Linked DNA regions of Tamandua tetradactyla. The protein of the gene in region 2 binds, or shares a complex with, the protein of the main gene of each other region. Links are inferred from orthologs where the notes say so. Each region holds a gene or a part of one and is shown on either strand. Other genes may lie near its edges.

Region 1 (7,648 bases), on a different chromosome or scaffold from region 2:
GCCTGGTGTCATTACACTCACTCACTGTTGAGTGGCGGGAGACCCTGCGTTCTGTCTGCTTTACTCCAGCCACCAGTTGGCTGCAGAACATACACAGTGAAAATTACTAGAAGATTCCTGTAGCTGCTTAGTCACTTACTTAGACTTGGAATTAGAAGCCAAGATGGAGGCCAGGGTCTGGCAGGCAGTTAACCTCCAGACAGGACATTATCGGGTCCTTCCCAGCCTGAACAAGGAGCCTGGGTGTCGATGGGGACGTGGTCCTAGGTTTCCCCATGTCTTTTGGCTTAGAAAACAGAACTCTTCCCTTTAGGATACTTGCCTTTATGTGAGTGTAAGCCTCTCTGGGCTTATTGTGGAACCTCATCCTCTTCATCTGGTTTGAACTTGATGTCTCCTGGTCTTATTGATATATTGTTACCAAAGTATATTAAACAGGTCTCTGTTGTGGGTGAAACATTCCCTCCAGCTAGCCTAAGAAAAAAAGGGGGGGGGGGAATTGATTTTAAGTCTACAAGGGTGTCTCCTGGAATCCATGGGCAGGTATGTAGCCAGGCCTCAGGTACAGGTGGTACCAAGGCTTGGGAGCCTCTATCTCTCCTCTGCCGCCCTCTGCATAACCGCTTCCTCCCTGCAGACCAGTCCCCTCTGCTTTCCCTTCCCAAGACGACCATGCCAGCTGTCACCCCTCTCAAGGACCTGCTGCCCTCGGTCAGCGTGCACCCTTCCAAAGACAGAAGCGCTGCCAGTTATGATTCTGGCAGGTGGAAGGTTAGGAAGTAGATTTACTAGGTAAGAGAGGGAGGGACCAGTGTAGAGATCCTGACAATGGTCTCTACAGGGGTGGAAAGACAGACTGTGAGGAAGAACCTGGCTCACTCCATCCCCGAGATACCAGCAGACGAAGCAAACTGACAGGCACCAAGCCAATCATTTTACAGTTATCTCCTTTCATCTTCACATCTTAAAAAATCAGATGAAAGTGTGACTAATTCCACTTTACAAATGAGAAAACAAAGGTCACAAAAAGTTACATTACCTCCCAAGGTCACAGAGCCAGAAGTAGAGAGGCTGGAATTCAGCCTGTGGATCTTTCCACTCTTCCATTGTCCCTGGCACCTGGGTCAGCACCATAATCAGTAGTGTGGCTTGGTCAGAGTGCCTGCTCTGGGTGTCTGCTGTGATACCAGCCTGGTATCGTCACAGGTGATTGTGGAAATGACCACGGCTCCAGAACAGCAGGATTTTCAAACATGGCCCATTGCACCCACTTACTCAGATTCTGCTCAGTCCGAGTTAAATGAGGCCAGTGTCAGTGGCTGACAAGCAGTCCCCTTGATGGCAGAGGCAGGGTCAGGTGAAAGACCGGGTAGCCTGGTCTCCTGAGACAAGCGGGTGGTGGTGAGTCAGGCTTATAAATGCCCATGGCTCCAACCAATGCAGCCCCAAATATTCAGCTGACAAAACCCCCTGTAAGCCCCTCTGGGTGCCCCTGCCTGGCTCAGGGAGGAACCTATCAGCCTTCCTTGGGGAGAGGAGCCCAATTGGCAGGCTATAGGACCAACATTGTGCACGGTCTGTTCCGGCCCATGTGGCTGGGCCTGGGGCCTGGGCTCATGGGCTATATCGGGGGCTGAGTCACCAGCCTGCGCCAGGGTCAGGCTGACTGTGACTGGCTGGCTGGAGCCTGAGTCAGGCCCCGATTTATCCTGGAGAGCAACAGGCTCAGGTTTCTCGGGGGATGGGGGGGTGACGGGAACCATCCATGGGCACTCTGTACCCTCCTCTCACTCCCCTGGGGCAGACACACTGCTCTCTACTGGAATGAGACAATGAGTCAAAGGGGGAGAGCCAGGGGAGGCATGGGGGGCTATCCTTGAGAGTTATCTCTCCACTTGTGGGCATCAGTCTGAACTCTCCCCTGTCAACACTGGCCCCCAAATGACTCAGGAACATCAAGGAATGCCCACAAAACAGGAATAGGAGCCGTTAGGGTTTATAAAGAGGCTGTCAGCTTCAAGCAACTCCAGCTTATCCCTTGCGCTCAACAAGGGAATCCAGCCTTTATCAGAGTTGTACATCGGTTTCTCCACCAAAGCTTCAAGACAACATCATTGAACCCTAAGCTCCTGGCACCTCAGAGTTGGGTGCCAGAAGTCTGCCCTTACACGCACACACACACGCACACACACACGCACACACTGGCACACAGTTCCTTGGTGAGACCCAGCTATGTTCCCCCAGGAACTGGGAATCTCTCCACAGGAGAGCTCAGCCTCTCAGGTAGATGGGCAGCACTGGTGCCTGATGGGTGCTTTGGGCCACGGGATGAAGGTTGCTTGTGGGTAATGAGAGCACTGGAGATGGGGAGAAAGGGGTTTGCCAGCAGGAGAGTAGAATTCCTGAGCACCTTGTCACAGGCAGCCGACAGAACATGAGCTGCAGGGCCCACGCTATTTATACCTCGCCTGTCACTATCAGGGCCCCCATAGCCTGCCCCCCCACCCCAGCCACACACAGCCTGGCCCTTTTCTGTTTCTGGGCCCTTCTCTACTCCTCCCCCCTCCCTACTCAGGCAACCAAGCAACCTCATTTAATGAGAACGAACAGAAATCACTCATGACCCCTTTCACTATAAGCACTGCCCCCATTAAACCCCCAAACTTCTCCCTCAGCTCTTTAATGAAGAGTGCCCTCATTCTGCTCTTGGGAAGAGAGCCCCAAAGATAACCACAAGCTCGTTCTTTTTCACCCAGCCTGGGGAAAAGAGAGGCAAAAGGTAGAATTAGTCATTTATAAGGTCCCAGAACCTTCTTAAACCTTCTCAGTTGTTATCACATACATGGCTTGTATCACATACAAGACACTTCTCAGGCTCAGACACGGTCTCCTACCCACTCAGTTTCCTGTTGATGAAGTGAGGGTTTGCCTACTTCTTCCAGAACCTCTCACCAATTCACTACCCCAAACTTACTGGGTCCAGGAGGGATGGGAAAGCTGAGGAAGGATGGCCATAAAAGGCAGACCAGGAGGTATGGAATACATGTATGCTACAAAATCGCAGAATATATATTCTCTTTATAAAAATATATCCTATAGCTCTTTTTTTTTCATCTCAGGTCAGCTCCTCTGTGTGGATGCCTCAGTTTCCCTACCCTCACCACTCCCCAGGCCTCCAGCCATCCTTGGCTTACCCCAAGCCTAGCCCTGCCTAGCACGTCCTGGCTGGCTCCCTCGGGCTCTCCCTGACCACTCTACCGCTGCCCACCTGCCTCAGTCACGTTCCCCCTTGGCTGCTCTGGGCAGGGCTCTCCCTGTTTCTGTCAGTAATCCGCCTTCTCCCTAGAGTGATCTGCCTTGTGGCCAAAATGGGCACATTGCCCAGGGGGCTCTCTGGCACTAAAGAGGCAGTCTCTCTCTCCCCACTCATCACCTTGGTTGAGTCAGACTTGAGCTGGGGCGGAGTGGGGGTGGGGGTGGCACAGTGTAACTCACTGGGTACCTTTTTCCTGAGCTCAGCTTCATTCTGAGGGGATGAGGCCAGATGGGGCTGGCAGCAGGGGCACTGAGTCAGGGGCAGCAGCCTCAGTCTTTGCCTCTGGGTTTGGGTCCCAAATGAGGCCTTTCTACCTGTAAAGTGGAGCAATGAGGGAGGTGCCCCCCACCCCCTGCCGCGGAGTCCACCATCCCCAAGCCTTCTTCCTAAGTGGCCTGGGCAGTGTCCTTGCTTCCTCTCTGTCCAGGTCTACACAAGCTCACAGACTTCCCTTCCCTATCCACAGGTGGACAATACACTGGGCTAGAAGCCAGGACTCCCAGGTCCGGTCAACAGCACTTCCACCAACTCATCCAGAAATTCTAACACGACATCCGTGTGTGTGTGTGTGTGTGTGTGTGTGTGTGTGTGTGTGTGTGTGTGTGTATGTTTCACTCTAACCACTGGCCTCAGTTTCCCCATTTATCTCTTGAGCTCCTCTGCAGTGGAGCACATTTCATCTCTGACTGACAAGGCTTAGTTTAGGGGTGTTGGGTGAGGATGGGTAACTTTCGCCCTCATTCTCTTCCACCTTCGAGGGCCGCTATCCACCTCCCCAGGGCGGCGGCTCCTCGGGGACCCCAGCCCCCCTGGTCCGCAGACTCGGGCCGGTGTGGGGGAGGGGCGGGAGGCCCCAGCTCCCCTCCCGCCGCCCGGGCCGCGTGGGGGAGGGGAGGGGAAGGAGGGGACGGGGAGGCGGGGCCGTTCCGCTCCGCGTGGCCCCCACCCGCGGGCCGGGCGGCATTCCTGGGAGGCCGGCGCTCTGACGTGGACCCGGGGGCCGCGGGCGAGACAGGGGGGCCGCGGCCCGGGGGCTTCTTAAACCCCCCGCCCCGGCCCGGCCCGCACTTCCCGAGCACCGCTCCGCCCCCGGACGGAGAGAGAGAGAGAGAGAGAGCGAGAGAGAGAGAGAGAGAGAGACAGACAGACAGAGACAGAGAGAGGCCGAAGAGCCGAGGAAGCCCGCCGAGCCCCGCCAGCCAGGGGCGCCAGAGCAGTTGGAGAGCAGCGCAGTGCCGAGCGGCGAGCCCCGCGGTCGCGCCCCGACAGCGCCCGACAGCACCCCCCGGGCCGCCCCGACCCCGCCGCGGACCCCGACCAGACACGCAGCGCAGCCCCTGCCCCGGCCCGCGCCAGCATGATGAACAACAGCGGCTACACGGAGGCCTCGGGCCTCGGTCTGGGCGACGAGGTGGACGAGATGCCGTCCACGGAGAAGGACCTGGCGGAGGACGCGCCGTGGAAGAAGATTCAGCAGAACACGTTCACGCGCTGGTGCAACGAGCACCTCAAGTGCGTGGGCAAGCGCCTGACCGACCTGCAGCGCGACCTCAGCGACGGGCTGCGCCTCATCGCGCTGCTCGAGGTGCTCAGCCAGAAGCGCATGTACCGCAAGTTCCACCCGCGCCCCAACTTCCGCCAGATGAAGCTGGAGAACGTGTCCGTGGCCCTCGAGTTCCTGGAGCGCGAACACATCAAGCTCGTGTCCATCGGTCAGTGCTGGCGCCGAGGGCTCGGGCACGGGGGGCGGGTGGGGGGAGCTGGAGGGGAGGGGAGCGGTGCCCTGAGGGCCGGCCCGTGCGTGGCAGCGGGGCACAGGTGCTGGGTGGGCGCGCGGGGAGCTCCGTGGCACCGTCGGGACTCGCCCGGGCTCTGCCTTCACACCCCTCTCAGGACCCGGGGCACCCAGGCGAGTTCAGACCTAACCATTCCAGCTTCAGCTTCCCCACACCCGCTCCAGCCATTCCGCCTCCCCTCCTAGTCCACTTTTCTTCCGCGGCAGGACCCTGGCCCCTGGTTTGAAAGGACAGGGCTAGTGCCTATTGCGGATTCCTGGGGGCATCTGCCCCCAAACAAAGCACACAGCTTCCCAGCTTCCCAGCACCTGCGCCTGGGGAGATGGGCATGAGGGCAGGTCCCAACCAATGCCCAGCTTCCCCGGCTCTAGGCTGAAGGCGAGCTGGTGGCCCCGCCGCTCCCGCCGAGGCCCAGGGCAGGCATGTGCTCAGCAGCTGGGCTCAGGCTGGGGGGCCAAGGCAGGCAGGGCCCTGCCTCAGAAACCTAAAAAGGCACTGAGTGAGCGCAGGGAGCCTTAACCCCTGCCTGTCCTCCTGCTTCTGTCTGCTGGGGAGGGGGGCTCCCACCCCTGCAGGCCCTGCCCCAGCCCTCCCCCTCAGCCCGGGATTGGCTGCAGCTAAAGGTCTGGACTGAGGGGAGGGAGGACAAAGCCTGTAGAAGGGAGGAAGTCATTGAGTGTAACCAGATTTGGAAGGTGTGTCAGTGCTGTGTGGGGGTGGGGAGGCACTCTAGGCTTTACAGCTGAGAAGAAGCCAAGGATGGGCTTTGAGTGGCAAGAAGTATCCTCTCCCCTCACAACCCTGCAGCCATCCAAGCGGGCTTCCAGGCCTGGGGAAGACCTCTCACCCCTGTGGTGAGGTCTGAAGAGTTCTGCGTTGATTTACATGAACGGGCCCCTTGTGGGGATACACCCCGGGACCTCATGAGGGGAGTTTCACGTAGGGCCAGGTAACCTAGAGCCTCCCCGCCCCCCATCTCGCTGCTCCAAGAGATATACCCAGATCATTGAATGCCCACCCCCCTCTCCCCCTCAGGGCCATCTCTAGGTCTCCTGAATTAGCAGCTGAGGTCAGTTTAGGGCCCTTTGCCCTGCTAGGCCCCTCCCTCCACCTTACCCCCTCCTACCCCAGTGCTCCCCCCTCTACCTCCCACCCCACCCGCCTGCTCTGGCCTGGAAATAGCCCTGCCTCCGTGACACAGCAGATGTCTCTGAGCTTTCCAGAAGGACAAACTTGAGGGCAGGGGGTGGGGGAGGAGGTGCTGGTGTCTGTAGTGGGGCTGAGGGCTATGTGAATGGGGGTGGGGGTAAGGAGACCCCCTGTACCCTGGGATTGGAAAGGCGAGACTGACTGTCCCAAGTGGGGTCTTTGGGACAGCTCGAGGCTATTAGAGGAGATATTAAAGGAAACTGCTCAGACTTCCCCTCCTCTCTGGGGGCTGCAGGGACAGCCCACTGCCCATCTCTAGGCCTCATCCTTTCAGAGCACACCTCTCCCCTCCCCCTTGATGGTTACTGGCTCCAGCCCCCTTGGCTCGACTGTGCAGGGGCGGGCTCAGAGTAGAGGAGGAAGGAGCAAAAGCTGGTTTGGGGGTGGGAGAGACTCTCCCTCGGTTCCCACTGAGAGGAAGGGGAGCTGTTCCCTGTTCCGGCCAAGTGGCGTCCTCGCGCTGATGAGATAAACTGTCAGCAGTTCAGCTGCAGAGAGGCTGAGGCTGGAGGGGAGGGGGTTCAGACGACTCCGAGCTGATGTAAAGGGCTACCCATCCGGTGGGAGCCTCCTGCCTCCTCTAGTTCCCGCTGTCCCCTTTAGTGGTGGAATGAGGAGACATTGTCTCAGACTAAAATTGAGCATCTGAGCACATTGGTGGGAGGCCAGAAAGACACACTATTTCCCTTTCTAGAAGGGAAGTCAAGGCCTGGGGTGGGAGCTGGGAGCTGGGACGTCCACCTGAAGGAGGGGGTATTCAGCTTGGGTTGGAGAAACTGTGTCCCCTTTCCTATGCCTACCACCCCCGTATGGCCCCCACTGCCCCCTCAGCCCCTCCAAACAAAGGGGCCTATGAGGCAGCTCTGTCCTGCAGCTGTTCCCCAGTTGCTATTCCTTCTCTTTGGGCCAACAGCCGAGGGAGGGGCTGGAGGGGACAGCAGCTGTCCCAGCCCCTCCCTCAGCCCAGCTCTCTCTCCTCCTCCCCCTCTACTTGAATCCTGGGGTAGCCTCAAGGACTGGCTGTCTGACTTTTCCCGCCCCCTTTGGGGGTATCCCCAGGCAGGCTGAGGAGTGGTGGCATGGGAGGATATAAGGGAGGAAGCCTAAGCTGAGTGAGAGGAGAGGAAGGGCATTGCCCCCAGAGTGGGACTCTGGGCCCCTTGCTGGCCCTCTCCTGCCCCAGGCTGTGGACCACTTGCTGTTTGGCCCAGGGCCAGTTGCTGGGGAGAAACCTCGCTCTCTGTGACTGTGAGTGATCACCGTCCCCCACACGTACACATACACTCCTCCCAGCCCGGCAGCCTCCCATGCCCGCCCTCTCAGGGGT
Region 2 (7,847 bases):
GACCTCTCTGGGCCTTCTTTTTCTTTTTCATAAAATGAGAATGAGGGCTCTCTTGAGGGAGGCCAAGAATAAAAAGGAGAATGGGTGCTCAAGCTCTGAGGCGCAAAGGCTGCCTGGTCATTCAGCCCCCCAAGAGGAGGAGCGGACCTAACTTACACCATTATCAAGAACAGGAATGGGGCGCTGCCCCCACCTCTTTCCGGGGTCCTCAGAACTAGGCCGGCCGCCACGATCACACCCCCCCCCAGCCAACACACCCCGGGGACCCCCCAGTCCCACGACTACCCAGCCCCGACCGGGCTGTAAGGCCCAGAGAGGGGCAGCTCGGGGGCCCCTCCTTTCCCTCGCCGGAGCCTGGCTGCCGAGGGGGGCCCGGAGCTCCGGAAAGCCCGGCGGCCTCCCGCAGGCAGCGGGACAGGGCGGCGGGCCCCGGACTTTAATCCGATCCATGTGCGGGACGCCGCCTCCTTTGTGCGGGCGCTTCCGCCCTGCGCGCCCCTTCCCCCGGCGCCCGCTCTCCCGGGGAGGGCCACGACCCTCCCGCCACTGAGCCCTCCCCCCAGACCTGCCCCCCCGGACTCCGGGGACAGAACGCAGGGCAGGCACCCTCCCCCCCAGCCCCCCCAGCCCCCCCCAGCGTCCCGCGGGGCCCCTCCAGGATCGTCGAGGTGGGGTCTCGGCTGGGGTGGGGCTCCGGCCGGGGCTGCCCGCGCTGTCACCTAAGGGTCGCCGGGCGGGGACGGCAGGACAGCCTTCCCAGCGCTCCGCGCCCCGCTTACCTGGGCCGCCCGCGCCCCCGCGGCTCGGATCCGACGCCCGGGCGAGCAGGACCCGGGAGCAGCGCGGCGCCTCCCGCCCTCCCGCCCCCTCGGCTCCCTCCGCCCCGCCGCCCCGCGCCGCGTTACCATAAAAGGTGAAGCTGGGGGGAGGGGGCTCCGGGATGCCCGTGGGGCAAAAGCGGCCCTTACCTGCCCCCCACCCCCACCTGCCCCGCCGCGCCCCGCGCCGCCCTCCCCCTCCTTTTGTTCTCGGACCGCTCCTCTCCCCTCCGCCAGGCCCGGGGCTGGGAGCCTCCCCCGCTGGCCAACTCCCCGCCCCCCACCCCGCGTCCTTTGTGCAACTTGAGGGGACGTTATCCCACCCCACCCCCAGGTCACCTGGGTTTGCGGCCCCACCTGCTCTTCCTGGTGGAGGGTCCAACACCCATGGTTTGGCCTGGGGTCTCCCAGGTTCCTAGGCGTCAAGGGACCCTGGGCAGTCACTCTGCTTCCCTGAGCCTCAGCTTCCTCATCTGTAAAACGGGGATAGTGGTGCCTAAGTCTCTAGGTTGGCCTGAGGATAAAAGGGTGTGTGGACAGCCTGGATCACTGTCAGAGCTTAATACACGCTGGGTTCTTTTTCAGGGTGTCCCTGGGTGGGGGTCTCAGAGACACCCAGTAGAGCAGGTCACCTCGCTTGACTGTTCAGTGTGGTCCCTGCCTGTCTTAGGGACCATAAGCCTTGGCATATGGCCTGGGAGACTGACCCCTCCAGGAGTACCATGTGCAACTCGGTGGCCCAGGCCCCAGAGGCAGGGCCAGCTGGCCATCAGGATACCTGGCTGCCCACCCCCTACCCCCGGGCTCTGTTGCTGACCCCTCCCCTCCTGTCCCCTGGATTTGCTCCCCTCCCACTCAGGCTGGCAGAGGTTGGACCTGGAGCAGGGAGGGGATAGCAGAGCCTGAGCTCTGGGCCCAGGATGGAGCTGGGATGGGCCTCCCGAGTCCCTGGAGGCCTCAGGCCTCAGAACAGCGCTGGGGAAAGGAATCTGGGTCTGATTCAGAGGCACACAGATTGTTCCTTTGATTAAAGCCTCCGTGGCTGAGGCCAGGGAAGCGCTGGAGGCAGGGCCATCTGGCTCTGGCTCTCCCCTGCGGGCCCCACAGCGACAGTTACCACCGCCAGGATGGCTCTGGGGGTCTGAGAGGCCCACATCCGTGGGAAGGGGCTGCCTGGAGCCCCTGTCCCACACTCCTCCTCCTCGCACCTCCCTAAACTGCTCACCCGACTGCCACCCCGCCCTCCGCCCTTTTTTTTCATTCGATCCGTACAGCTCTGCAAGAGCGACAAGCAGCGAGGGCCACAGCTGCCCTTTACGGGGGCTTCCTCTGACTGGCACCTCACCCGCACAACCTGCTTAGGTTTAATCCCCACAAGAGCCCTGGGCGGGAGGGCCCATTACTCCTGCTTCACAGACATGGAAACTGAGGCTTTGAGAACCTTGAGGTTACCCCAGGGGCAAGGGGCAGGGCTGGGATTCAAACCCTGAGCAGTGGTGCCCCTGGGTGCATGGCTCTGCTCCTGCAGGAGTGGGGACGGCCCTGCAGTGTGGACTCTGAGGCTCAGGGAGGTGGTGAGATGGCGCAAGGCCCCAGGTCAGGTGCACCCCCTGCTCGGCGACCTGCCTCCGCTCTGCAGTCCTGTCTGGGGTGAGACTTCCCTGTGCCCTCCTCACAGGATGGAGGGAGTGGAGGGAGCTGCCAAAGCCGGAGATGGGAAGGACCTTAGGGGAAAGGGCCCAATCCAGGGGGCTGCAGCCGTACAACTACATTTTCAAGTGATTCCTGACCCTGAAGCTCGTTCACAACAGATGAAAACGGTATCGTCCTCCCCCAACCCTGCAGTACCCACTGAGCCCCCTCGCTGTCTGCAGCAGCCCCCCTCCCCAGGTGGAACAGTGAGGCACAGAGGGAGGGGTTGGTGGCCTTGTCCAAGGTCACAGGACTCAGTGTAGGACCCCAGCCTCCCACCTCTGCTCCCGGCTGACACTGGCTTGGGAGGCTCTAGGGGCTGCCAGGGCCCAGCCACCACCACTCACCTGCCATCTAGCAGCCCTGGCCGTCCAGCCTGCTCTGCTGATGCTCCCCGGCCCAAGACAAGAAGCGCGTCCTGGCCAAGGGGCTCCAGGGCAGCCCGGGTGTCAATGTCACCGTTCGGCCGGTGCCAAACTTCCTGCAATGGGAACCCAGGAAGTGCAGTGGATGAGAACACACGCCCTTTGTCTGCCAGCTCAGAGGTCCTGCTCCCTCCTCCCGCCCTGCCAGGCTCAGACCAGCTCACTTCCCTCCTCAGAGGGCTCCGGGGACAGGTGAGAGGACTCCATCTCCTATTTGAGTGGTGACAGCCGAGACCCCTGGTGGCCAGGAAGGGGTGCGAGAGAGATTTTGGGATAAGATTCCGGGTGGTGGGGATGTTTGCTGCTGCCCAGCCTGGCACCACCTGCCCTTAGTGGGCGAGGGGCTTTGAGCCAACAAACCTTCACAAGACAGTGCAGAGCTCCAGCCTCCAGCAAATGAATGCAATGACTACCTAGAGCAAAATGTGCTAGGAAGGGGGTGGGGAGCTGGGACAGAGGACAGGGCTGGGGGCAGATCCTCTCAAAGGAGGTGACATTTAAGCTGAGATGAGGAGGAGCCAGTCACAAGAAGAATGGAAGAGCTCATTCCTGGGAGAGAGAGGCAGTGGGGAAAACCTGGGCAAGTTACTTCCCCTCCCTGAGTTCATTTCTTCACCTGTAATGCAGTGGAGCTGGCCTGGCTACTCATGAGCAGAGACACAAGTGCTTCCCTTTGCAGACCTGTTGGGGACAACGGCACAGAAAGGGCCCACCTGGGGCTGACCCGTCGTGGATGCCTTGAAACTGTAGCAGTTGTTATTTCTACTCGCTCTGGCCTGGTTTCCAGGGCTCTCTGCTCACACCGCCCGCCACACCCTCTCCAGCTAGAACGCAGACCTGGGACCTGGGACCTGGGGCGAGCTGGATGAAGGGGTCCTCCAGCCCCGGGTCACATGACTTTCCTCCTAGGCATCCTGAGGAAGTGAGTTCCTTTCCTCTTTCCACCATAAAGACGTCAGAAGTTTCAGGATGTTACAGTAAGGTGGGCAGACAGCTGAAGGTGAGGCAGAGGCTGGATCCACTGAGGACCTACGGGACATTTATGGTCCCTGCCAGCCCAGTTTCACTCTCCCTGCTTTTGGGGACAGCTTCCAATTTCTATTTGGGGACCCCCCACCCCACTTTCTGTCCCTGGGGTTCGGGTGGGATTGCTGCAACCCCCCTGGCTCTGGATCTGGACTGTTGTTTCTGAAATGAACACCAGACCCAATCTCAGCTGTGGGCCTGTGGCTGCAACTGTTTGGGAAGAGGTAGAGTCCTCCAGTTGGGCTCTTTAACGGGAAGGATGCAAGCTTGGTACCAACCTGCCACCATCTGGACCAACGCAAAGGACAGCAGAGCCAAGAGAAAAGGAGAAAGAACTGACTTCATCCTTTAGGTTGCTGGATCCAGCTATGCCTGACGTCCTACCTCTGTACTTTTCAATGAGATGACTGCACTTTTCAATTACATGACTCAGTTTTTGCTTTTTCTTAAACCAGTTAAATACAGAGCTGTGATTAATCTTGGCAAGACTTCATGGGACAGGATCATTTCCCCCTTTTAGAAAACTCTGTCCCAGTGTTGTCACTTTTGAGGAGACATCCTGACTCCTCCAGGAAAGTGAAAGAGTTGAACACTCCCATGGGTACATCAGCCACTGCTGGTTGCAATGCTAAGCTTTCCTTACCAGACTGAGAGCAACGACACTTGTTGTTGTTGTTTTATTGAGATATAGCCACACATCATACAAACCATCCAAAGTATACAATCATTGGCTCACGGTATCATCACATAGTTGTGTATACAACCCCCATGATCAATTTTAGAAGATTTTCATTACTCCAGAAAAGAAATAAAAAGGGAAACCCAAATTCTCTCATATCCCTTATCCACCCCACCCCCCATTATTGAGCCATGGTGTCGGTGTAGTACATTTGTTACTGCTGATGAAAGAGAATTAAAACATTACTGTCAACTATAGTCCACAGTTTGCAACAGGTACATTTTTTTCCCCCATAAACCTCTCTATTATTAGCTCCTTGTAATGGTGCTACACATTTGTTCTGGTTCATGAAAGAACTTTTTTATATTTGTACAGTTAATCATCGACATTGTCCACCAGAAATTCACTGTGCTATACATTGCCATGTCTTAACCTCCAGTTTTCCTTCTGGTGACATACATGACCCTAAACTTCCCCATTCAGCACTGTTAATTATCCTCATGAGAACAGGGCAGTGTCCTTTCACTCTCTGCGTCCCCAGCACCTGGAGTTGTGCTTGGCACACAGTAGGGACTCAATGATCCCTACAGAAGAAAGGATTATGGGGTCTGGAGGAGCTGTACGCAAATTGTATCAGAAGCAGTAAGAGGTAGTGATCAGGTTAAGAGTTTGGAATTTAAAGTCAGACACATAAATTTAGATCTTGGCTCCCTCGTTTAAGCACATCACTTAATCTTTCTGTATCTTGGGTTTTGTCCTTCTGGGGAGATAGAGGAAACAACAATCAACACCTCGCAGCTGTCCTGAGCACTGGGAGAGAGAGTGTAAAAAAAAAAATACACAGCACAGGGTTATAATTCCTCCATAAAGAGTTGCCATATTAGCAACTCCTCCCAAATGAAAGGCAAGTTTGCTCATCCTTCTCTGCACAGGGAGTAGCCAGGTGGACAAGGTGGGGGCGTCCGGGGAGCCAGGGGACAGGTAACAGAAGGGCCTGACCTCTTCCCGCCCCTCTTCCCCTGGGATTGGCTCCTGCTTCTTCAGCCCTGGCCGGGCCCTCCTTCCTGCCCTCCCCAGACCCAGACGTGGCCTTTGACCCTGGACACTTCTCATCAGAAGGCGTGGCCCAGACTGAGATGTAGTTCCTTCTGGGGGCAGTAGAGGGCGTCGTCAGGCCTGGGCTAAGTGCCCTACATCTGTCATCTTGTTCAATCCTCACAACAGATGGGGAAACTGAGGCACAGTGAGTGACTTGCCCATTAGTCCCTGATGGGCCTCATTCAAGCCCAGGGAGGCTAGGCCCAGGCCCTTTTACCAAACTGGCCAAGTGGGTAGAGAAAAGCTGTTCAGAAGCCACAGGGTTCCCCAACGTGGCCACGGTTACACCCAAGGAGCCCCCCACTCTCAGGCCCCAAGCCTGTGTCCCTCCTGCTCCACCCAGGCCGGCCCAGCCCCCCAGCGCCTGGCTGTGACAGCCATACCCGGGCCTCTGCACCCTCCCAGTACAGGAGCCTGAGCTGACCCAGGGCCAGGCCATCCACGCTGTGAAGCAGCACAGACTCCTGAACGAGGGGGCGTAAGACCCAGCAGGCTGGGAGGCCGCCTCCTCGCCCAGGCCTTGCCAGTTTGAGCCCCTCTGTGGGCAGAGAAGAGGATATAATGGTGCTACTCACTTTGGAGGGTCCCTGAGTCTGCCCCAACTCTGACTCTCACTGGTTCCTTCCCTGTCCCCGGCCCCCCAGCCCCCCGGCCCCACTGGCAGGCTTCATTCCTGGCAGCTTCCATCCCAACATGCCCTTGGCAACATCTACCCCAATTCCGAGACCCCTTCCTTACTAAAGCCTAATGTGGCCCAGACCTGCCGCAGCCACTAACTGGCCTCCTGGCTTCCCTCTCACCCCGTGGTGGGCTTACTTCTCACCCCAGGAAGTTAATGAAGCTGACACTCAGGCAAGAGCCACCAGGAGGACTGGAAGTTGCTGGGAGTTATGGAGTGTTCTAGAAGGGGAGGAAAGCCAGGTTCATACAGGAAACGCCTCCATTCAACACTCCTAGCAAGTTGCCTAGAGAGACGTCAGAACAAGGGGCTCAAATCTCTACAGCACCAGTAAATTGTGCTTTCCCTTCTCACTCCAAATTTTGTGTCCTTCTTCCAAAGCGGGGGGTGAGGGGGCCTTTAGAATTGGATTTGCCCCTACGCTTCCCCCTTGCAATTCATTCCCACACGGGGCTGCACAATCCCTCCAAAGGAACCCCTGATCCGCTGACCCCTGCTCACAGCCCTTCCCCGGCTCCTGAGTGGCCCCAGCCCCTTTTGGGGCTGTATCTCCTGCCACTGTGTTGACCCTTGCTCGGTTTCTCAGCTACATCCACCCTTGCTCGGTTTCCCTCATTGACACTGAGGACATGCCTCCCAAGCCTTCTTCAGAGAAGCCAACCTGAACCCCAGGCCACATCACTCTACCTTATGGCACCTGGTCCTTACACCCCAACCCTGCCCGCTAATGTACCTGCCGAAGGAACCTGCTCCCCTCTCTTGGAGCCCCCCCTCCCTACCCACCCCCGTCTCACACCCCCTGCCTTATTTGGCCAGGTGTTCAGGCCAAAAATCTAGCAGCCACTGGGCTTCCCCTCTCTCAAACCTACTCTAAATCCTCAACCCCATCTACAAAAGATGTCCTTTATCCAGCTGCTGCTGGTTGCCTGCACCGCTGCTACCTTGGCTCCAGCCTCCATCATCTCTCACAGGATTGTTGCACATGCTTCCAAACTGGTGTCCCTTTTTCTAGACTGTCTAGTCTAAAAACGGCAAAAAGAGGAATGCTTTAAAATGGGTCAAATTAGGTCCCTTCCCGGTGCGGAACCCTCCGTTGGCTTAGAGCGCAGGACAGAGTCCTAACCCCTCGCGACGGCCCCGCGCGCTCTGCTCCTCGCCCACCCCAGTGACCTCATCCCCTGCCCCTTCCCCTCCTCCAGGATGCTCCAGTCACAAGAAATTTCCTGCTGTTCCTCAAATAGTCCAAACTTGTTCCCGTCTCAGGGGCTTTGCCCATGTGTTCCTTTCCCTGGCCTGGGATGTCCTCTCAGCTGATTGCCTGGCTTGCTCGTCTCTCCATTCAGGCCTCTACTCAATTGTCCCCACTTCAAGGAAGCCCTCTGTGGAGGCGGCTTCTAAGGTGGCCCACGGTGATGGCCACCAGCCGGATT

The links. Proteins that work in one complex are often made in the same cells at the same time.
Region 1: the proteins of FBLIM1 (region 2) and FLNC are in contact, whole or in part, in an NMR structure (PDB 2K9U), measured with the Homo sapiens proteins. The link is inferred for Tamandua tetradactyla from reciprocal best matches to the Homo sapiens genes FBLIM1 and FLNC. Residues at the interface, in NP_001337080.1 of Homo sapiens: Arg8, Val9, Ala10, Ser11, Ser12, Val13, Phe14, Ile15, Thr16, Leu17, Pro19; in NP_001449.3 of Homo sapiens: Thr2339, Ala2344, Gly2345, Gly2346, Leu2347, Ser2348, Ile2349, Ala2350, Val2351, Glu2352, Gly2353, Pro2354, Ser2355, Lys2356, Ile2359, Phe2361, Asp2380, Glu2382, Phe2387.

Annotation. Positions count from the first base shown.
Region 1 is NC_135327.1:170,248,832-170,256,479, forward strand, and holds the start of FLNC (filamin-C), read left to right. Parts: upstream 1-4,642; 5' UTR 4,643-4,673; coding exon 4,674-5,028; intron 5,029-7,648.
Region 2 is NC_135328.1:210,134,960-210,142,806, forward strand, and holds the start of FBLIM1 (filamin-binding LIM protein 1), read right to left. Parts: upstream 3,004-7,847; 5' UTR 2,858-3,003; exon of another isoform or gene 2,497-2,857; intron 1,292-2,496; 5' UTR 1,176-1,291; intron 864-1,175; exon of another isoform or gene 780-863; intron 1-779. UniProt on the Homo sapiens protein: Serves as an anchoring site for cell-ECM adhesion proteins and filamin-containing actin filaments. Is implicated in cell shape modulation (spreading) and motility.